Linked DNA regions of Caenorhabditis elegans. The protein of the gene in region 1 purifies or fractionates together with the protein of each later gene. This does not show direct contact. Each region holds a gene or a part of one and is shown in the gene's direction. Other genes may lie near its edges.

What was found.
Region 2: the proteins of gpx-5 (region 1) and Y71G12B.13 fractionate together in Caenorhabditis elegans (co-fractionation; one large-scale study listed by BioGRID). This does not show direct contact.
Region 3: the proteins of gpx-5 (region 1) and K09E4.1 fractionate together in Caenorhabditis elegans (co-fractionation; one large-scale study listed by BioGRID). This does not show direct contact.
Region 4: the proteins of gpx-5 (region 1) and W04C9.6 fractionate together in Caenorhabditis elegans (co-fractionation; one large-scale study listed by BioGRID). This does not show direct contact.

The regions. Positions count from the first base shown.
Region 1 is NC_003284.9:9,582,673-9,586,867, forward strand, and holds gpx-5 (Glutathione peroxidase), read left to right. Parts: upstream 1-1,995; 5' UTR 1,996-2,022; coding exon 2,023-2,080; intron 2,081-2,177; coding exon 2,178-2,251; intron 2,252-2,300; coding exon 2,301-2,385; intron 2,386-2,803; coding exon 2,804-3,048; intron 3,049-3,255; coding exon 3,256-3,465; 3' UTR 3,466-3,672; downstream 3,673-4,195.
Region 2 is NC_003279.8:1,700,147-1,708,146, forward strand, and holds the start of Y71G12B.13 (RING-type domain-containing protein), read left to right. Parts: upstream 1-1,958; 5' UTR 1,959-1,976; coding exon 1,977-2,003; intron 2,004-2,425; coding exon 2,426-2,542; intron 2,543-3,815; coding exon 3,816-4,340; intron 4,341-5,514; coding exon 5,515-5,609; intron 5,610-5,651; coding exon 5,652-5,859; intron 5,860-7,189; coding exon 7,190-7,744; 3' UTR 7,745-8,000. Other genes in the region: ubc-3 (UBC core domain-containing protein), read left to right, coding at 532-641; lsm-6 (U6 snRNA-associated Sm-like protein LSm6), read left to right, coding at 1,226-1,338, 1,432-1,552.
Region 3 is NC_003280.10:14,136,145-14,140,599, forward strand, and holds K09E4.1 (Protein kinase domain-containing protein), read left to right. Parts: upstream 1-1,693; 5' UTR 1,694-1,741; coding exon 1,742-1,915; intron 1,916-2,708; coding exon 2,709-3,032; intron 3,033-3,284; coding exon 3,285-3,890; 3' UTR 3,891-3,926; downstream 3,927-4,455. Other genes in the region: cacn-1 (Splicing factor Cactin), read right to left, coding at 133-590, 4,009-4,208.
Region 4 is NC_003279.8:483,524-489,992, reverse strand, and holds W04C9.6 (MFS domain-containing protein), read left to right. Parts: upstream 1-1,600; 5' UTR 1,601-2,002; coding exon 2,003-2,035; intron 2,036-2,090; coding exon 2,091-2,199; intron 2,200-2,265; coding exon 2,266-2,406; intron 2,407-3,143; coding exon 3,144-3,526; intron 3,527-4,373; coding exon 4,374-4,612; intron 4,613-4,716; coding exon 4,717-4,840; intron 4,841-4,990; coding exon 4,991-5,086; intron 5,087-5,134; coding exon 5,135-5,205; intron 5,206-5,683; coding exon 5,684-5,867; 3' UTR 5,868-5,954; downstream 5,955-6,469. Other genes in the region: W04C9.2 (MICOS complex subunit MIC13), read right to left, coding at 222-293, 1,049-1,111, 1,160-1,225, 1,270-1,377; W04C9.9 (Zinc finger protein), read left to right, coding at 6,113-6,123.

The DNA.
Region 1 (4,195 bases):
GAAGTTTTTTGTATGTAAGATGTTTCACTTGAAAAAAGACACAAAATTGGTTGTTAAGAGAGGTCAGAGACAAAGGAAATTATGCGTTACTACTTTCGGCCCCTATTGTCAAATTGGTGGCAAGAACCGAAACAGTTCTTAATGACTCTCAGTTTTTTTCCTCCCCATCATAGTTTGTTCTTGAATATTCGAGAACGAAAAATGATCCAAAGTAGAAAATTATAAAAGCTTTGGTCAAGATCCGAACATAATTATTTGCCATTGTTATTGTTCTATTCTTCATCTCAAAAAACAGGTGACTACACCAAGGATAGTAACCACAACAATCACGTAGTACTAACAGAGGAATCCAGTTTTTTTATGACGAGAGTATGAAAGGGGAGGTGGGGGTTGACGAGTTGTTAACCCCTTTGCATTGACACTCCAAGGTTTATTTGAATTTGAGGAATAGAAACATTAGAGAATAATGGAACAAAACATTTGAGAAATTCAATGTGGAAATGAGAAAAACAACTTATGACGAATTTCAGGATATCAAAAATTTAATTGTGAAGTGTTCAAGGATTTTAAATACCATCTGGATGGAGAATGGAAACACAGTGATAGATCATTCAATTTTATGAAAAAAACACAGATGACTCAAAAACTTTGAACTACAGTTGCCATGTGTGCCAAATGTTGAATGTATGATACATCATTGAAAGCGGCCAAACTAGACTGGTGGAGCTGGCGTGCGATCTGAAATATTTTCAAAATCATATCTCTAATTAACTCGAATTGTTGTACAGAAGTTGGCTCAAAAAACCCAGAAGTGCACAAAATCATTTTTGTCTATTGCAGTGTATGAGCTCTGAATTTCCAGCGTAAATATATGTTTTTGTAATTTGCATTCGGTCAAGATTTGGTCACTTTATCTTTTTTATCTCAAGATCATTTATATCGTATTTCTCTTTGATTTGATTATACCTTTACAACTAGATAAATAAACAAATATATACATATAGTAAATAGTATTTTGAATTGAAGCTCTATCAATCTGTGATTCAAACTATCTCAACAAAACATAATTGAGAAATAACCAAATTGTTTAATCGAGTTCTTTTTTCTTGTTTCATTCATTAAAACACGTTCCAAGTTTTTAAACTCTTCACAAGCCACCACCAATCCAATAAAAGCAATACTTATTCATCTTTTATGTATCAGAAAAAAAAAGATTATTGATCAGGAAAAGAAAGTGAAATCGGACATTTGGTCATCACAATAAAAAGAGAAAAAGCGATAAGTTCTTTACAATTACTATCCATCATTCCCGATTATTCTCGCTTTTTTCCGGAATTTTTTGTCATTCCGAGTGAATGCTAATGTTGACATTGATTTGGGATAAATATCCATAAGTCATCCATCAATTGTTGCTTCATCTTTCTTTTCTTTCAAACTTTGAAAAATGCATTAAAAAACAGTTGGTAAACAAAACTATAGATATTTATTTTCCAAATCGTTTCTGTGAAATTTTACTGAAATAGATCCATTTGCTTTTCCTTAGGTTTGAAATTTTCACAGTAAACAGCTAATAAAAATTGAGAAGAAGATAAAGCAAATAACAGATTTTGAGAAGTATTGAGTTCTGTTTGTTTGTTATATATTTTCACTACTTTGGAATTTCTGAAAGCAAAACAGTTCCGAAGTATTGGTGGAAATAACAATAACAGGAACGATTTCTCTGGGTATTTATCTGTACTAGTATCCATTTCAGGAAGCTCAAATACTAACTCTAGACATCTCAGATGTTTGTTCAATCACTCTCCCGTCATATTTTCCTTTTCTCTCTCTTCATCTCCACCACGCCCTTCTTCTCAACATCTCTGCGCATCCACAAACTTCCATATTCCGCCTACTCTTTTTCTCTAGCAACTCTCCACTTAATGGATACTGTACAGAAGGTGTATAGATGGGTATAAAAGTGGATGGGTGATAGGTGGCAGTCATCAGTCTCGAAGTTGTAGAATCGAGAGAGATACGAAAATGGCACTTTGGCAGCTCACATTTGCGGCTCTTTTTGCGTTCGTCGCTGCTCAGCCAGGTTTGCTTCTAGTTTCTCATCATAATTTTTTATCTCAGCAGTTTGAAAATAGAACTACTGGATACAATTTTCCAATACCGAATATCAACATTTCCAGGACCGAAAATGGTTGACGAAACGACTCGCTGGAGTCAATGTAAAGACACAAACCAATCTATTTACGATTTCCAGGTAAATTTGAAATTTGAAAGGAGCTTTTGTTATCCATAAATTGGTTTAGGTAGAAACACTACAAGGAGAATACACAGACCTTAGTCAATACCGTGGACAGGTGCTTCTCATGGTCAACGTTGCTACTTTTTGCGGTGAGTTGTCTTATAATATCTCTCTCTCTCTTTTTTTTGTTTAGAAGATTTAGAAGATTATAAGATTCATGAGATCTCATCCCATTTCCGGCTTTTGCAAAAGATGCAACCCAAACCATATCACTTTTCTCCAAAACTTGGCCGAAACAGATAGACTATATCATAACGAACATGTTTTCAGAGAAAAAATTTATTAAAAAATTGTCTCACACCCATTTTTATACTCAGGATTTTTTAGTATATAGATTATCACGATTCTTTTCGATTTTCGAATGTTAAAAAGAGATAGAAACATTTCCCAAAACAATTCTACCGATGGAACATATGGCTGATTGCTTAACACGTTCGACGCCATTCGGTCGTTTATCAATGTCTATTTGAACCTTATAAACAACGATGAAAATTGAAACAATTCTAGCGTACACCCAGCAATACACGGATTTCAACCCCCTTATCGAGAAGTACCAATCCCAAGGATTTACTCTCATTGCCTTCCCATGCAATCAATTCTATTTGCAAGAGCCAGCTGAGAACCATGAACTGATGAATGGAATAATGTATGTTCGTCCTGGAAACGGATGGAAGCCACACCAGAACTTGCACATTTATGGAAAGCTTGACACCAACGGAGACAACCAACACCCAATCTACGAGTTTGTCAAGGTCAGTTTTAGACCATTACCGCCAACTAGTCAGGGGGTCATTTCCTTTATTCGTTTCTTTACACCAAGGTCAAACAACAAAATAATATGTTTCGGGGGTAGGAATTGAACACAACAAAAGAATGGCATTGTGTTCAGTTTACACTGCCAATGGTCTCTTCTACATTCTCGACCATTCGGCAATCATTCATCTTATTTTACATTGCAGGAGTCTTGCCCACAAACTGTTGACAAAATTGGAAAGACTGATGAATTGATGTACAACCCAATTCGTGCTTCTGATATCACATGGAACTTCGAGAAGTTCCTTATTGACAGAAATGGACAACCAAGATTCCGCTTCCACCCAACTGCTTGGAGCCACGGAGATGTTGTCACTCCATTCATTGAGCAACTCCTTGCTGAGCCAGCTAATTAATTGGTTATTAACTAATTGACAATCATTGATTTCATTCCAATGTGTGTGTATACTTTCGTAGTACCGACCCACATGTCAATCAGGGGTTGCTTTGTTCTTGTATAGCGAATATCATAAGATATTGTGCTTCTCCACGTTTTAATTGCCTCCGGGTTTTTCTCCGTTCCTGTATTTACGTTCCGTCGAAATAAAGTAGAATATCACATTAATCATACTTTTCATGGAAAAATTAAAAAAAAAATTGCTCGCACAAATACATTAATCGAAAAGAGTTTACTACTAAATTTGAATTATTCTGCTATTTTTTTCAGTACACAGTGCATATATTGGATAAACTGACACTGGAAGCAAAATTGGATAATCTAGCTTTGTTATACAAACAGAATACTGTTTTAAATTGCATGATTAAAAACGAATGTGTTCAGCAAAAACATTCGAGATAAAAAAGATATCTCTATACCTATTCCTGTTCCTGATATACCTGTCTATCATAACCTTATATTTTTAAAAGCAAATTTTTTAGCCAGAATACGTTAATAGTTTTTAAATCCGCCTGAAGAAATAAACAAATATCACGTCCAGTTTGAATGAATATATAAATGAAAGTTACACTTATTTTTTATGTGTGGTATTATACAAATACAAAAAGGAATTTTTCACCCTTTTGTTCCATAATTTGTTATGTTCACCCTAAGTGATTAGTTCACAGGTATGAGTGGTGAAACTGTTT
Region 2 (8,000 bases), on another chromosome or scaffold:
TCTTCTACGCTAAAAATGTCTTATATTTTGCGTTTTTTGCACTAAAACTGGCTATTTTTGGTAAAATTCAAAAATTGTCAGTTTTTAGTCGAAATATCCGCAAAATTATACACTTTTTTCAAAAAAAATTGCCGATTTTTCAGGTAAATTGCCAGAAATCGCACGAATTCACGGATTTCTGGCTTCCCTTATAAATTGAAATGGAAGAGTTTTTGCCGAACTAGTCCAGGCCACCATATCTGGGGTAGATTTACGGCGCGTTGCGTGTCGCGCCGCGGCTCGATTTTAGTTGTAAAACTAAATGTATTTGTCCGTGTGGAGTACACGACTTTCCCACACGTTTTCCGGCGGGCGATTGTCAATGGAGCGCGAAAAATTCAATGAGGAAGGTCAGAACCCCGTGACCTCAAAAACCTCAAAAAAAAGTCTATTTTTCGCAAATTTAGTTGTAAAATTCCCGAGAAAATTGGATTTTTCAGTTAAAAACCCGGATTTTTGCCAAATTTTCAATTAAATATCGATTTTTTTCAGACGACGATTTCGGGTGTGACTATGACGACGATGAAGAGGAGGAGGACGAGGACGAATGCGGCTCGGACTATAATGATGATGACGAGGATTCGGGACAAGGAGAAAATTAGTCAATTTTTTTTAATTTTCTATAATTTTTTCCCCATTTTTTTTCTCAATTTTCTCAATTTTCCAACCTAGAAAAATTCAAATTCATATCAAATATACCACGAAATCTTGGCGCTTCTTTCAAACAAAAAATCTTCAAAATCCGACTCAACTAGTCCTTTTCTCAATGCATTTATATGTACACTTTTGCCCTTCCCAAGCAGCTATCAATTCATATTTGTGTTATACTCAATATTTTTTCGTCTGGAAACAGTTTTTTTTGTCCAATTACACACACACACAGGCTGATCACAGTGCACTTTCAACTATTTTTGTTTTCTATAAATGAAGCCTTCTTTTTTCTAAATTGTCTCGGAAAATTGCAGATTTAGAGTTGAATTCTCAAAAAATAAGTCGATTTAATCCGAAAAAAACATTTTTTTCGCAAGTCTGCATTTTTGCGTCACGGTGTTTGCGGACACTGTAGAAAATAATTTTTTTTGAAGCAAAATCGCAATTTTAACGCATTTTTCTCTTGATTTTAACATATTTTTACTCTAAAAACCCGTGAAAGTAATATTTTTTCTCAATTTCAGCACTCTAGAAAATGAGCAAACGACAGAATCCCGCCGAATTCCTGAAGAAAGTCATCGGAAAGCCGGTTGTGGTGAAGCTCAACTCTGGCGTCGACTACCGTGGCATTCTCGCATGTCTCGACGGGTTAGTGATTGGGAAAAATCAAAAAATCTGATTAAAAACACCTGAAAATTAATTTTTCTTCCAGAAAAATTACGAAAAAATCTAATTTTTCAGATATATGAACATCGCGCTCGAACAAACCGAAGAATACAGCAACGGACAACTTCAGAACAAGTACGGCGATGCGTTCATCCGCGGGAACAATGTGCTCTACATCTCCACATCGACGAAATAACTTTTTTTTGATTTCGATTTATTTTCCAAATATTTTTCCCTTTTTTGAGCTATTTTGAGCAAATTTCTTGTTTGATACGTTTGGATCTCGAATAAATTTGTGTTTTTTTTTTCGCCGAAAATCTGAGTTATTTCGCTCGAAAACAGGCTTTTTCAGCAAAAATCGAGAAATTTCTTGGGTTTCCTCACCGTTAGACGCGTCGCGGTCATGCGTCACGTGCGGTGGGTCTCACCACGATTCGATTTACGGGGAAGCATTTTCGAAAAAAAGAAGACATTTTTAAGTCAATTTATCGCGTTTTCATCGATTTTTCGAGCTTTTCCGGTGATTTTTTCGATTTTTCAACTCAAATTTCGAATTCTACGTATTTTTGTGCCACTTTCACTGCAACAATCGCAATTTTCAGACAATTTTCAAAAGGATAATGCCACCCGGACCACTTCCCGCCTTAGTAAGTTGATTTTTTTTTTGATTTAAAAACTGATTAACTTTTGCTCTCCGAGTGGTAAGTGATAATTTGTAATGATATGCGATCACACTAAGGCTAAACCGCCTTGCGATGATCTTTCCACCCGCACTGGAAAAGGAGAATTAGGCGGTTTTCTGCCGCCCGATATGTGATCGCACATTTCAAATGATACCATTCAAAAACTATACCTAATTTCATAGTGAAAAGACCAAAAGAAGATAAAGAAGAGCAAGAGAGAGAGAGACGTCGCACGAAATCCATCAGTCTTCTGTCCCCCCATCGATTTTCCGAAAATTGAAAAAAAAACAGTTAGTTTCAAAGTTTGAGCGTTTGTGTGCTCATTTTGTGCTCGTTTCTAGCCTTAAAATTTCGAATTTTCCATCAAAAAACTCATTTAATTTCAGATGAAAAGCGAATGGCTCAAGTGTCCGCGATGTAAGACGAAACAGCTCAAGCCAGAGCTCATCAGCACCGAACCCAATGGATCCGATAATATTTGGTGGATATGTGAGGCTGTTCAGGTAGAAATTCATGAAAAACTGAATTTATATTGGGAAACCAGGCAAAAATCGAGCTAAAAATCGAATTTCAGGTTGTTTTGGCTCGTATGAACGGAGAAAATCAGCTTTTCATAGCAATTTAACTGAAAATTATTGTTTTTTATATCAATTTTCGGTGAATTTCCGATGTTTTCGACGATTTCTCCCCTCAATCACTGGATTTTCACAAAATTAACTAAAAAATTCCGGTTTTATTGAATTTCAAGTTCAAAACTTGAAAATTCTGTGGGGAAATTGCTTTAAAACATGCCTATGGTACCACAATGACCAAATATCATAGTAAATTTTTTTTTTAATTTAGAACATTAAAAAAAATTTTACTATGATATTTGGTCATTGTGGTACCATAGGTATGTTTTAAAGCAATGTCTCCTCAGAATTTTCAAATTTTGAACTTGAAATTCAACAAAACGGACAATTTTTAGTTAATTTTGTGAAAATCGAGTAATTTTGAGGCGGAAAAATCGTCGAAATCATCGGAAGTTCACCGGAAATTGATTTTAAAAAACATTAATTTTCAGTAATATTTCATAATCACGCTCTCCTCAAAGCCGGAGAATTATTAGAGCGCGCTTGCTGCGCTTCGCATTTCTGCATCCGCGGTAATTTGACTTTCCACTGAAAAAAGCAGATATTTCAGATTTATCGAATTTTTAGCTTTTAAAATTTTTTAAATGCATCTTTCGAACAAACCTTTTGTTAAACAGTGAAAATCGAAAAATGACTAAAATGAAATTTTTCGTCCACTGGTTGTGAAATGGTTTGAATTTGAAGAAATCAATGGGATTTTTCTTATTTTCTAAATATTTTTCTATTAAAAATCGGTTTTAACCCATTTTTTTGACCCTAAAAGTCACAAATGTTTTAAAACCGATTTTAATAGAAAAATATTTAGAAAATAAGAAAAATCCCGTTAATTTTTTCAAATTCAAACCATTTCACAGCCAGTGGACGAAAAAAGTTCATTTTAGTCATTTTAAATTCGATTTTCACTGTTTAACAAAAGGTTTGTTCGAAAACTGGAGAAAAATTTTTTTTAAAGCTAGAAAATTCGATAAATCTGAAATATCTGCTTTTTCAGTGGAAAGTCAAAATACCGCGGATTCAGAAATGCGAAGCGCAGCAAGCGCGCTCTAATAATTATTCGGCTTTGAGGAGAGCGTGCATAATTACGACTTTTTTAAAAACTAAAACTGCCGATTTTAATCATTTTTTATTTATTTTTTATTTGCAGAAATGTCAATTCCCAATGGATATGCCTCCACACGTCTATCATGTCGTCCAAACTGCCTTCCAAAAGCGTCAAAAATGCATTCCCCTGCCACGCATTGAGAAGCTTCCCGAGAAATATCAATATCTGTATCCCCTGACGTTCGCCAACTCTCGACCGGTCTCCCGTTGCTCATCAGTGGCTGGAAATTCTGAAAATTCTGAAAATCGAGCCGCCAGAAACTCGTTGGACGGGACGACGACGACGACGACTACGATTTCTGAGAAATCCAGTGGTCAGAATAGGCTAAAAGCTGAAAGTCTTCATTCCGAAACTGTTAATAATACAAATACCCCTTCAACGTCTTGCTCGGCAGAAGCTGAGCTTGAAAATCAGAGTATTGATGATGTGGAAATTGAAGAAGAAGAGGCCGTCAGGCCGTGTAGGACTATTAAGCGACGGCTTAATGATTCTGGAAAATCGTGGGCTTCGTTGATAGAAAAAGTTGCGGCCGACTCGAAAGCGTCGAATACTATTATAAATATGGAGGTGAAAATTTGGAACTTTTGAGCTGAAAAAAATTTGAGTTTTCCCGAATTTTTAAGCGGAAATTTGAATTTTCCTGGATTTTTAAACGGAAATTTGATTATTTCCGAATTTTTTAGCGAAAATTTGAATTTTCCCGACTTTTTAGTTGAAATTTAAACTTTCCCAAAGTTTTAAACGGAAATTTGAATTTTCCCGAACTTTTTAACGAAAATTTGAATTTTCCCGAATTTTTAAATCTAAATTTGATTTTTCTCGAATTTTTAAAAGGAAATCTGAATTTTCCCGAATTTTTAAGCGAAAAATTGAATTTTTCCGATTTTTAAGCGAAAATTTAAATTTTCCGAAATTTTTAATCGATAATTTGAATTTTCCCGAATTTTTTAGTGAAAACTTGAATTTTCCTGGATTTTTCATCGATAATTTGAATTTTCTCGAAGTTTTCAACGGAAATCTGAATTTTCCCGAACTTTTTAACGAAAATTTGAATTTACCCGAGTTTTTAAGCGAAAAGTTGAGTTTTTTTCGAATTTTTAAGCGGAAATTTGAATTTTCTCGAAGTTTTCAACGGAAATTTGAATTTTCTCGAAATGTTTACCAAAAGACTGAATTTTCCCGAATTTTTTAGTGAAAATTTGAATTTTCCTGGATTTTTAGTTGAAAATTCGAATTTTCTCGAAGTTTTCAACGGAAATCTGCGTTTTCCCGATTTTTTAGCAAAAATTTGACTTTTCCCGAACTTTTTAAAGAAAATTTGAATTTTCCCGAATTTTTTAGTGAAAATTTGAGTTTTTCCGAGTTTTTTTAGCAAAAATTTGAAATTTCCCGAATTTTTTAGTGAAAATTTCAGTTTTGCCGAATTTTGGAATGAAAATTTGAATTTCTTCAAAGTTTCCCGTATTTTTGAGCGAAAATTTGAATTTTCCCGATTTTTTTACTGGAAATTTGAATTTTCCCGAATTTTTAGTGAAAATTACACTTTTCCTGGATTTTTAATCGATAATTCGAATTTTCTCGAATTTTTAAACGGAAATTTCGATAATCAAAAAATTGGAAGAAAAAAAAATCGCGATTTTCTGGGTTTTCTGGGTGAAATCCTTCGAATTTTTGCTCAATACTGCGAAAAAAACGCAAAAATTTTCATTAACATCTCCCAAAAATCGATTTTTTTTTTCAGGAATCCGAATTATTCCGTCGTATGCAGGAGTTTTTCGATGCTCACTACTTCCAGCGTACTCCGATGACCTATAAGCGTTCAAGAGCGGCTTTACGGTTGGAAATGCTCAACAAATGGCAAAAAATCGATAATTTTAGACTTCCCTATCGGATAGAAGACATTGAAAATTGTCTACAATCAATAACTCGTGAAGATTGGAAAACTGCCCGACGTCGAATGATTAATTTCACTGTAGAAGAGAAAATGGTGGCGAGAAGTGGAAATGCGGATGAGTTGCTGAAAAGTGTTGGAATTGATTTGCAACAAATTAAGAAAGCTGTCGGAGAGAAAGTTGGCAATGTTATGGTACGGATTGAAGAAGAGGAAAAATGACGAAAATCATGGAAATTTTTGAAAAATTTGGCCGAAAAAACGAAGAAAAACCTAGAAATTTGATTATCCTGCGAAGATTTTGCAAAATTTTAAAAAATTTGGCATAAAAAAACAAAAAAATTCGATAAAAACCCAAAAATTTGATTTTCCTGCGACGATTTTGCAAAACTTTACACAAATTAGCCAAAATTCAAAAATTCGCAGAATCTACATGAAAAAATAATTTTTTTTCTCGAAAAAATTGCTTTAAAACGCGCCTATGGGGTCATAATGACCGAATAGCATGGTAAAACAAATGCAAAAAAATTTTCTAAATTTTTTATGATATTTGAAAATTGAAAAAATCACAGTTTTCCCCCTAATTCCGATTCGAATTTCCGCTAATTGAATTTGTTCGATGGAGTGTGCTTGCATTATTTTCATTAATTTTTTAAAAATTTATTTTCATTATTTCACTGATTTTCTTCATTTTTTGGGCGTTTTTAATCGGAAAATGAAAGAAACATACGGGAAAAATGCAAAATGTTTATTAAAAAGTAACTGAAAATGCCTAAAACTCTGAAATTATACGATCCGACGATGACGAGCCTGAAATAAGTATTATTCACAGTTTTAGGCATTTTCAGTTACTTTTTAATAAACATTTTGCATTTTTCCTGTATGTTTCTTTCATTTTCCGATTAAAAACACCCAAAAAATGAAGAAAATCAGTGAAATAATGAAAATAAATTTTAAAAAATTAATGAAAACAATGCAAGCGCGCTCCAACGAACGAGTTCAATTGGCGGAAATTCAAATAGGAATTAGGGGGAAAACTGAGATTTTTTCAATTTTCAAAAATCATATAAAATTTAGAAAAAAAAATTTTTTTTGAATTTTTTTATTATGATATATTCGGTTATTGTGGTATCATAAGCATGCTTTAAAGCAATTTCAAAAAAATCAAATTTTAAATTTAATTTCCGAAATTTATGGGTTTCTGTTTTCAGACATTTTTCTCGAAATTCGCTGAAAAATACAAAAAATGCCGATTTTTCCTAAAATTACGCAGTTTTCGATTTTTTTTACAAAATTGCCAATTTTCCTACAAAATATTTGAATTTTTCCGATCTTTTAGTCAAAAAAAGTCGAATTTTCCAATTTTTTTTTCCACAAAAATTTGATTTTTTCCGATTTTTTACACAGAACAACTTGAATTTTTCTTTTTTATTTTCATTTCGGTCCAAATTTTGCTGCGCGTAAATAATATTTTTTTGATTAATAAAATAAATAAAAAAAAGACGCTAATTTCCTCATTTTTCAGCGCAACTTCAGCCTGGCAAGCCTGGCGAAGCGTCGAAAAATCGAAGAGGATCGTAAAATCTCGGAGAAACTGAAAGCGGAAACCCGTAAGCAGACGATTCATCAATCGGTTTCTGCGAGAATTCTGAACAAGAAGCTTCGACGTGACGAGGAAACGGCAAGATCCTTGACGAGTACACCATCTCCGGCTCCAGCTCCAGCTTCTCAATTCCAGCAGGAGCCGGAGCCTGTGCAATTCCATGTGGGAAATTATGACGAAGAGCCGGAGTACCAGGAGCACCAGGAGCCAGATGCTCATTGGGGCTTTGAATTTGACGATCTCTACGAGAGAATTGATGCTCAGAATCATCAGGCGGCACCACTGGATCCGGCTGATCCACTGGAGGCGATGCTTCTCGGATTGGAAGAAGCTCCGATTATGGAGCAACACCTCGATTTTGAGCCCCAAGAGCATTCGGGTGATGAAGCGGAGCCTGAGAATGATGATGATGATGTTTTTACGGGTTTTAATGTTCAGGAGAACTCGGAATTTGTTAATGATAATTTTGATTTTTAATTCTTCTCGTTTTTTCCCCCGCTTTTTTACTTGAAAATTGGAATTTTTAGATGGAAATTGGCAAAATAGCGGATTTTTAGCAAAATTTTCCCCTGAAAAAAATAAATTCCCTGAAAAATTTAAAAAAAAAACCGATTTGCCGGAAATTTTCAATTCCGGCAAATTACCGATTTGCCGGAAATTTTCCATTCCGGCAAATCGGCAATTTTTCTGTTTGCGGGAATTTTTCAATTCCGGCAATGTTCCGGTTTGCCGG
Region 3 (4,455 bases), on another chromosome or scaffold:
ATGGCCTAGAAACCACTTTTCTTCGTCCCTCGTGAGGAAAAAGTTGCAGTGAAATTCAGTGAATAAAAACCAATTTTTGTGAAATTTTTTTGCAAAATTTACGGTTTTTCTGCCAAAAAAAAAATGCTAAACCTATAACATCCAATTCTGTACAACTCCCGAGTGACGTCATCCAACTGATCTCCCGTCAGTGCTCTCCATTTTCTCTCCCTCTCCGGCTCATCGAGCTCCGGATCATCAAGCGTCTGCACATCGATCTTTCTCCGAACTTTCTTCGATATTTTCTCATCATCCTCATCCTCCTCCTCCTCTTCTTCCTCTTCCTTCTGAATTTTCACTTGTGGTGGAACTTCAGCCACCGGGAGGAGCTCTTCCGACTCCTGCTGCTGAATCTCCTTTTTCTGCTCTTCCTTAATTATTGCCAACTGGAGCCGGAGCACACGGCCGTGATGCTCGCGGAGTCGCTTCCGCGCGATAAAAACCTTCAGCTGATCGTCCAAATCCTGCCAGTAACCCTTGTTTCCACTGTTTCCGCGGATTTTTGCGTCCATTTGGTCTTCCAGTTTGAGCAGCTCATCGATTGATTTGTTCTGGAAAAATTCGGGGGAAAATTGAGTTTTTTTTTTCAGAGTTTTCGGCTCAAATTGCGATAAAAAAGACAATTTTCCGCAAAAAATTACTGAAAATAAGTTATAAAAGCCGTTTCAAAATGTTTTTTTTTTGATTTTTCAATGAAATTGACAAAACTGACAAAAATCATGCTCTTAGCTTGAATTTTTTTGGTTTTTTTCCTCGAAATCTGTACTTTTTTTGGATTTTTTGGGTGGGCGGCAAACAAGTTTTCCGGCAACTCGGCAAACCGGCAAAATGCCGGAATTGAAATTTCCGGCAAATTGGTAAAATGCCGGAATTGAAATTTCTGGCAAATTGGTAAAATGCCGGAATTGAAATTTCCGGCAAATTGGTAAAATGCCGGAATTGAAATTTCCGGCAAATTGGTAAAATGCCGGAATCGAAAATTCCGGCAAATTGGTAAAATGCCGGAATTGAAAATTCCGGCAAATTGGTAAATTGGCGGAATTGAAATTTCCGGCAAATTGATGAATTGCCGGAATGGAAACTTCTGGCAAATTGGTACAATGCCGGAATTGAAATTTCTGCCAAATTGGTAAAATGGCGGAATCGAAAATTCCGGCAAATTGGTAAAATGCCGGAATTGAAATTTCCGGCAAATCGGCCAGTTGGCTGAATGGAAAATACCGGCAAATTGATGAAATGCCGGAATTGAAATTTCCCGCAAATCGGCAAGTTGGCGGAATGGAAAATACCGGCAAATTGATGAAATGCCGGAATTGAAACTTCCGGCAAACTGGTAAATTGGCGGAATTGAAATTTCCGGCAAATTGGTTTGCCGAATTTGCCGAAAATGTTCGGCAAATGTGGTTTTGTACTTTTTTCTTTTTTGAAAAGTGAGCAAAATAGGAAATTTTCAGCTCTTTTTTCAAAAACTTGGCTGGAAATCAGTAAAATCGCTTGAATTCCAGATTTTTCCGTTAAAATCAGCAAAAATAATTGTTTTTTTTTTAAATTTAATTTTCATTGTTTTGTCAATTTTTCACAAACGTGACCATTTTTTTCCAAAAAAAAAAACCACGTCCCTTCAGAAATTCTCGACTATTCGAATCAGTTTGAGAAATTGTTTTCACTCAAAACGTTCAACAAGAGGCAAATTCGACGAAAAATGGACACAATGGAGCAGCATCAGGAGCTTGAGCAAGAAGCCATCGGACCGGCTCTTCCACCGCCGTCAGCTGCTCAAAAATCGGAGCTCTTCGAGGAGCACAACGTCGAGTACGAGCTGATCAACGGGATCCCGTGCTACCAGCCGGATCATGTGGTCGACGGGCAAGTTCAGGTAAGGAATGACTCGAAAATCTTGTGAAAAACCCAGGAATTTCCCGCAAAATTCTCAGGTTTTCGTCGTTTTTCAAGCACATTTGCCACGTGGCCGCGAACAATTCGGTGGCCGAGTTTTCTCTTTCCCGGCCACGCAGCGAAGGTTGTGGCTGGGCTTGGGCTTCTTAACTCAGGCTTCCCGTCTTTGTCCGGACTTTTTTTTAGCGAAAAAATCACCAAAAAATGCAGTTTTTGGCACTGTCGATTAGGGGTGGGCGGCGATTGCCGTCCGGCAAATTTTTTTGCCGATTTGCCGGAAATTTTCAATTCCGGCAATTTGCCGATTTGCCGGAAATTTGTGATTTTCGGCAAACTGCCGGTTTAGTGATTTGCCCGAAACTTTCAATTCCGGCAATTTGCCGATTTGCCGGAAAATTTTGATTTTCGACAAACTGCCGGTTTGGTGATTTGCCGGAAATTTTCAATTCCGGAAATTTACCGATCTGCCGGAAAATTTTGATTTTCGACAAACTGCCGGTTTGGTGATTTGCCGGAAATTTTCAATTCCGGAAATTTACCGATCTGCCGGAAAATTGTGATTTTCGGCAAACTGCCGGTTTGGTGATTTGCCGGAAATTTTTCATTCCAGAAATTTGCCGATTTGCCGGAAAATTGTGATTTTCGGCAAATTACCGATTTGCCGGAAATTTTAGCGATTTTCCGCAAAACTGCTAGTCTTTGGAAAAGTGAAAAAAAAACTCAGAAATTCATCGATTTTCCCAATTTTCCAAAAATTAAACCACAATTTCCAGATCTTCGAACGAATCGGCTACGACGACAAGGTCGGCGGAACGTTCCTCGGGCTCAGCGCCGACGGAAAAGAGCTCGTCGTCCGCGTCGCACCGATCGACGCGCTGACTCATGTGGTTCGTGCCGAGGCGGCATTCCTGTGCAAGGTGGAAGCCGAGCTTCAGGACTGGCGGCTCTTCTCGCAAGTTCACAAGATCTTTCTGACCGACGACGCGTGGCACATGTCGCTGTACTTCCGTGGTGGACCGACGTTGGAGCAGTGCTTTGCGATGCGGAACAAGTTCACGCTTGGGACGGCTGGACGCTTGGCCGAGGATGTGCTCAATGTTAGTTGGCTCCTGGAGGTCCTAGCTGGAATCGCTCTGAAGCTTGAACGGGCTGTCTAGGCTTCTGGCGGAGCTTGAGCTCCCGTGTTGGCGCTGGAACGCCTGCCTACCTGCCTGGCTTCATGGCGATCTCAGGCAGGCGCCTGCCTACCATGGAAGCCTCAATTTCAGCTTATTTTGCTTGAAATCTCCAGAATTTCTGTCAATTTCACGGAACTTTGTAGAAATTCTTGATAAACTGCTCATTTTTAGGTGATCCGATGTGCTCACAAGCATGGCTACCTCGTCCGCAACATGGATCTCAACAGCTTCCACTACGATGCGGCAAGCCGTCACCTCTTCATGGCGGACATCTCGTCTTTGGTCAAGAACATTTCTGGTGATGATGGAGCTCCGATTGCTAGCTACGCTGGCTGCTTGGATTATGCTCCGTGCAGTGACGATGGTCTTGTTGGCGCCCGGCAGGATCTCGAGACATGGTTCTACCAGCTGGTTCACCTGGTGCTCGGCGAGCTCCCATGGGGAAGTCTGAGCCGCGAAGAGGCTGGAGTCAAGAAGGCCGAGTTCCAGAAGAGCAAGGAATTCGCGGAGCTTCCAGAGGTGTTCCACAAGATTGCCGAAGTGGTTATCGCCAAGGAATACTCGGTTGTCGAGGAGGAGGAATATGTCAAGTTGGCAGGGCTCACGGAGCAAATCTACAAGGAGCTCGGAGGTGTGACGGATCACGAGGAGAATATGGATTTCGAGCGGGAGCCGACGCCGGATGAGCTTCCACGTTTTGTGGCGTGCCGTGCCGATGAGATTCCGACGATCGCGGAGGAAGAGGAGCCGGCGGTTGAGGAAGAGAACTCGGAATAGGGATTGAAATTTGAATAAAATTTAAATATTGTGCGGAAAATAGGGTCAATTTTTGGGCTTTTTGCCGGAGGATTTTTAAAGTTTCAAGTTAATTTTTCAGCATTTTCAGGCACTCTACCTTGAACATATTCTGAACTTCTGTCTGCACACTCGCATGCACATCACCTCGATTCTGTGCGGCCTTCTTCTGAATCTCGTCTTCGGCGATTCGTGTAACATCCATCCACCAAGTCTCGTTTTTGGCCCATCCGTCGACTTCTCTGTACGTTTTGATGTCCTCGATGAGATCCTCGTAGTCGTCGACTGATTTGCATGAAGCTGGAAGAGAAAATTGGGTTTTCTAGGCCACCACTTTTGAAGTCCTCTCGGACACAATTTTAAAGTTTTATATACTTTTTTTTTAGGATTTTGAAAGTGAAAAAAACGCTTCTTCAACTGGAAAAAGTAACTTTTTGTAAGTAACTTCTCCTCTCGGACAATTCTTGGAATTTTAAATTTTTTTTCCAATTTTTTTCTGAAAAAAGCGTGTAAATTTTCTAAAAATTGATGTGAATTGGACTTTTTC
Region 4 (6,469 bases), on another chromosome or scaffold:
CTTATCAGTGAATTGATAATCAGTGGAGAAAATTGATCAACGATGGGAACTGATAAAATAATATAATGCACCGTCCGTTTAAAGTCAAAAATTGCAAATTTTTTCATAGAGCACACACACAAATACTTCTAGAAAATGAGGAGGGAAAAAGTACATTCTAACGAAGGAATACACGAGGATTCGGGGGGAAAATCGATAAATCGATAATTTTTATGGGGAATTTATTTATTATTGATGAGTCGATTGGCCACTGTGTTCACGCTTGATGGGACGTTCTCGATTGTGGTGAATACCTGAAAAAAATTGAGTTTGAAATTGTTGGAAATGCGCTCCACTGCACTAGCTTGGGTCTCGCAGCGAAATCGCGTAAATTTGAAATTCCGGTGAAAAAAAACGGCAATTTCAGGTATTTTCTATGCTTTTTGAGTGGGAACTTGGAGAAAAGTGCGATAGAGCGCGTTTGCATTATTTTCGGATAATGTTTGAATTTCCTACAATATTTCTGGTCTCGCAGCGAAATCGTCGGAATTTTGCTAATGTCTGTAATTTTCTACGCGAAATTTTGAAAAAAAAGTGCCATGGAGTGTGCTTGCATTTTTTTTAAAAACAATTTCAGAATTTTCTCTGAATTTTGGACTAAAAATTGCGTTTTGCATTATCTTTCCTACAAAACCAGAAGTTTAAGACTTTTCGAGTCAGAAATTGGAAAAAAGTGCGATGGAGCGTACTTGCATTTGGTTAATTTTTGACGTGGAATTTTTTTTGAATTTCGCTTTTTGTGAAAAAAAGTGTTTTGCATTATTTTCAGCAATTTTCTCCAAAATTTGTGTCTTTTTGTCATATTTTTCCTAGTTTTAGGCACTTTTTTCGACGTTTAGCTCTGAAATTTGACTAAAAATGACTGAAAATTTATATTTTTCAATTTTTCAGATAGATTTTTGAAATTATGGAATTTCTTGAACGTTCGGCGCCAAATCTCCATTTTCCAGGACTTTTTTCCAACTTTCGCAGCAATTTTTCCGTGTTTCCTCTCAAAAATGCAGCCTACCGAGTCAACAGCACTGTTCCACTTTCCACCGGCCTTCAGCTGCACATCTTCGACTGTTGGGAGCTGAAAATAAGAAAAAAATTGCATTTTCAGAGAAAAAATCGATAAAACCTGCTCTGGAAAGACGACGGTGCCGGGAAGAATGTACTTTTTAAGCTTTTGATACAGTTCGCTGCCCTGAAAATGAAAATTTTCGTGGAAAAACGGGGGAAAACTAATACTTTAACATTGTTAGTCGACCAAATATCGTTATCGATTGACAGTTTGACGGCGCCGGCGACGAGTCCAACTTTAATTCCGAGTTTTGCAGTTTTCCACAAGAATCCCATGTTGCCGACCTGAAAATTCGAATATTTTGTGTGAAAAATCAGTTATTTTGCAACAAGACGTGAAAAATAAATAAAAAATCACAAATTCAAGAAGAAAAGTTCAGAAAAACTGAAAAAAAATCGGAAAAATAAAATGAACGTCGCGCGCACGAGAAATGCGCAAGCAAATCGAGACTCGCGTCAGAGCACGAGAAACGCGCCAGCCTCGTCTGCGTTTCTCTTCTCACAATGCTCTCTCTCACTGAAATAAGCTTATAAGCTTAAAAGTCTGCAAATCTTTAATTTGGCGAGGGATAATCGAAAATTTAAGCTCACAGATGCCTAGAAAATTAAATTTTAAGTAGATTATATTAAAATTTCATAAAAATAATGATAATTAACGGTATTTATTAAAGTTTTAGATTTCATCAAATTTTCAGACTATACTATAGTCTTGCAATTTTCAAAGAATTTTTCCTGCAAAAAACAAGTACAAAGCATTGATCAAATTAACACTATCAAGTTGACAGTGTCAACGTTTAATCCCCCAGCAGTATTTCCCTTAAATTGATCACTGCACTTTTCGTTATCACCACGAGCATCATAAATTTTTTTACTTATTTAAAATTCCGGTTTCTGATGCACCATGGTCAACTCGCCGGTTCCTGTCCGATTTCTGGTACTTTTTGAACTCAAAACCCCCGGAAAATTGAATTTTCACGATTTTTTTGCAGATTTTAATATGTGCCACACTGTGTTTGACCTCGATTCTTTCAAATATGAATACTTATAATTTTACAAAAATTTGTATGCAAGATGATAATAGTACTTCAACTTCAAAAGGTTTTTTTTTTAATTCGGTGGCCGAGTTTTTCCATTGGCGGCCGCCAAAATAGTTGATTTTTTCAGTGAACTATACCAAATCAGAGTCGAATTTTCTTCAATCGTGTGTGGCTATTGGAAGTCTTGCCGCCTCGATTCCATTTTCCATTTCTTTTCAACATTTGCCGCATAAACCTGTCTTCATTGTCGCCGGAATTATTTCGGGAGGTATGACGTCAATCGTGGCCGCGAAAAAAAAAAATATCGGTGGCCGAGTTTTCTGTAGTTTTTATTTGTTTCGAGAAAACTGACTAATTTCTATAGACTAATTTTATAAAAACTGTGCATTTTGTCGTCAGATCCAGTGCATGCGTATTTTCAAAGCTACAGTACCCCAAAAAGCATGCATCGAAAGCATACAAAATTTTTGAAATTGATCGTCAAATATGGTGTATTGCACAGTGGGCGTTGAATTTGACGCGCAAAACAATAATCTGATTTTTCGAAACAAAAACATGGTGCATGAAGCACAAAAAATTGTGAAAAATTCCGCGTAAGCACGTGGTGTCAGGCTGTCCCATCACGGTTTGATCTACAAAAAATGCGGGAATTATTTGCCCGAAAATATGTGACGTCAGCACGTTCTTAACCATACGAAATCAGTTGAGAACTCTGCGTCTCTTCTCCCGCATTTTTTGTAGATCTACGTAGATCAAGCCTAAATGAGACACTCTGATACCACGTGCGTAAAATACTGAATTAAGTATTTAAGAATCATATTTTACGCGCAAAATAAAACAGATTTCACGAATTTTTCTGAAATTAAAAAAAAATTATCGATTTTTCAAAAATTATTGACATTTATTGTCCGAGAGGAGTACACCAAGCATCATTAGAGCGCGTTTCCATTTTTTAAATTTTAAAATTGCGCGTCAAATATGATGTATTGCACTCAATTTTTCCAGTTTCAACAGCCCTTATCCCGTTGGCAAGTACCATTGGCTACGGATGGTTTGTGGCCGCCCGTATTTGTCAAGGAATGGCATTTTCAGCCACATTTCCCCTCGCTGGCTCAATTACAGCAAATTGGGCGACCCCATACGAGCACGGAGTATTCATTGGCCTATTAACCGGAAATACACAACTTTCAAATATATTTACAATGCCAGTTTCGGGATGGTTATGCTCTTCGTCTGGTGGATGGACGTCGGTTTACTATGTGCACGCCGGTGTATCGTTGGTCACTTTTTCGCTGTTTTTCCTATTTTTCAAGTGCTCGCCGAGTGAGCACAGTTGGGTTGGCGAGAAGGAATTGGAGAGGATTCGAGAAGGGAAATCGGGAAAGAAAGTGAGTGCAAACGCGCTCTACCGGACACAAATTATAACTAGATTTTGGAGCGGAAAAAAACCTGAAATTGTACCACGTATCATTTTTGAGAAAAACGCGCCCGAAGGACTACGGAAAGCCCAAGCCTAAGCGCACGTGGTGCCTGGCTGTGCTATTACGGTTTGATCTACCAAAAATGCGGGAATTTTTGCCCCAAAAAATGTGACGTCAGCACACTCTTAACCATGCGAAATCAGTAGAAAACTCTGCGGCTCTTCCCCCGCATTTTTTGTAGATCTACGTAGATCAAGCCGAAATGAGGCACTCTGACACCACGTGTAAGCCTAAGCCTAAGCCTAGGCCTACGCCTAAGCCTATGCCTTAGCCTATGCCTAAACCTAGGACTGAATTAGTGGGTTCCTCGGGGTACGCAATTTGTCGACAATTAAGACGTTCCCTCATTAGTATGAGAAAATCCCAAATTTTTCTAAAACTGCTAGCAAGGTAAATGGGTTTCATGTACGCAAATTTGCTTCAACTTCAAGATTTTTTACATGAGAGTAACCGAGTTTTCAAAACCTCGGCCACCACATCGCATTGCATGGCCTAACTTTTCACGGGCTTCGAATTTCCCCCATGTTTTCAAATGGAAGAGGTGGCCGTGAAAAAAGCGAACCTCGACCGGGGGTCGCGACCTGCGACAAACAGGAAAACTCAAAAAAAGTAGCGACAGTACGAAATTTCTTTGAGTTTTCCCGTTTGTCGCGAGTCGCGACCCCCGGTCGAGGTTAGCTTTATTCACGGCCACCTCTTCCATTTGAAAACATGGGGGGGGAAATTCGAAGCCCGTTACTTTTTCGTTTTGCAGGTATCCCGGCCAAAAAATCTTCCATTCCGTCATATTCTGACAAGTTTAAGCCTGTGGGCTTGTTGGATCGCATCGTTTGGAGATTTGATAACAGTTCAATTGGTATCCCAATTCAATCCGCAATATATGAAAAATTATTTGAACTATGACGTACTTTCGTCCGGTTTTTTGGCCGCCTTACCCATTATTTTTCAATTTTTTACGAAATTATCGTCGGGAATTATTAGTGATTATATTAAGTGAGTTTTTCGGGGGTTTTTCCTGGAAAAATAATTTTATAATTGTGAAAAAAATCAGTGGCCGAGTTTTTCCTCTCTACGGCCACCAAAAATCAATATTCCAGATTCATCTCAGAAACTCTGAAAACTAAAATTTTCAACACAATCGCTCTGGCCGTGGCCGCCGTTTTTTTCATCGTTCTAGCATTTATTCCACAGGAAAAACACTTGCTGGCTATTATTATAATGGTGAGTGGGTGGTGGTGGTGGCCTAGATAGGAAAACTCTTCCAGTGGGACAAGTGCGCTCAATTGATAATCCACGTTGAAAATAACCGATTATCAACATAGCGCACATACATCCATGGCCTAGTTTTCCTATTCTCTTCCATCATTCCAGATTTGCGCCGAAAGTGTGATGGGGTGCAATACGGCGGGATTCAACAAGTGTGCCACGTTGCACTCCCAGCAGTACGCCTATTTCGCAATGCAGCAGGTAAGGGGGTGGCCGAGAAAATTTTTAGGCCAACGATTTCTCTTCCAGATCATGAACATCTGGGCTTGCACGATATTCATCGAACCGTTTTTCGTCAATATGATTGTTACTGATGATACGTGAGTTTTTAGGGTATTCATGTAGGCACGCAGGCATGAGGAATGCAGGCAGGCATAGGTAAACTTAAAGGCAGGCATGTAGGTATATACGGTCTAGAAAAAAAAACACGGTAAGCGTAGGTCACTTTGGAGGCAGGCAGGAAGGCATAGGCATAGATAACCTATGTGAGCTGGACCGGCGTAGATTCCCTAAAAGACTATCGAAAAGGCAGATAGCATTAAAAGCAGGTAGATAGGCACAGGGTACATTGGGGTAGACGTAGATAGCATGTAGGCTGACCTAGGCCACCTTGAAAGCAGGCAGTTGACCTACATAGTTTGTAAGGTAGGCATAGGCCTAGAAGGCACTGACAAAAATGCAGGCAAACCAGCATAGGTCTCACTTGAAGGTAGTCAAGTAGGTAGGCAAAGGTCCCCTGCAAGGCAGACGTAGGCAGGCAGGCGTAGGTCCCCTAAAAGACAAGATTATTTTTTTCAGATTCACAGACTGGCGTAATTGTTTCCTGGCGCATGCGGGCTTACTTCTCTTCGTAAATACTATATTCTGCCTGTTTGCCGACGCCTCGCCAGCAAAATGGACCAGATTACAAGATGATGACGTGGCAATTGAGGAGGAAAAAGAAGAATATTCTGGAAGTATTGAAGATATTATTAAGTTGTAAAAGTTGTACACTACTGTATAAATTGTAAAAGTGTTCCGAAGATTTTCGGCGCCCCAATAAAATTGAATGGCTTCTAGCTGAAGCTTACCTCCTCCCTATGAAATTTATGAAAAAAAATTTGCGGACATTTTTCTATTATTATTATTACGTAAATGCCCCAATTTCTACCACAAATTCTTATAGTTTTGCAGTTTTTTGTAAAAAATTCGGAATTTTGTATTGGTGGGAGCAAGTGTCAGAGCTCCATGTGCTATTCGTGAGTTTTTTTAAAATCTTGTCTAGAAAATACTGTAATTAACATAGAAATAGGGCATTTGAAACATGGCCTAGGAAAAACTATTGGTGGCCGAGTTTTTTTCCGTAGCTGTGAAAAGTGAAAAACGAAAAACCTCGGCCACCATTCAACTTTTTGGAGCATTTTTACAATTTGGAAAATTTAAATTTTGGTGGAATTTTCTAGGCCACGCAGTAGAATTCTAGGCCACTTGACGAATTCTGGATTAAAAATTGATTATAATTTTGATTTTGCAAAAATTGAGAAAAAAAAACCAGAAAAATAATTTTTAATTTTAAAATTTACTATCAATTGAGTTGTTTTTTTT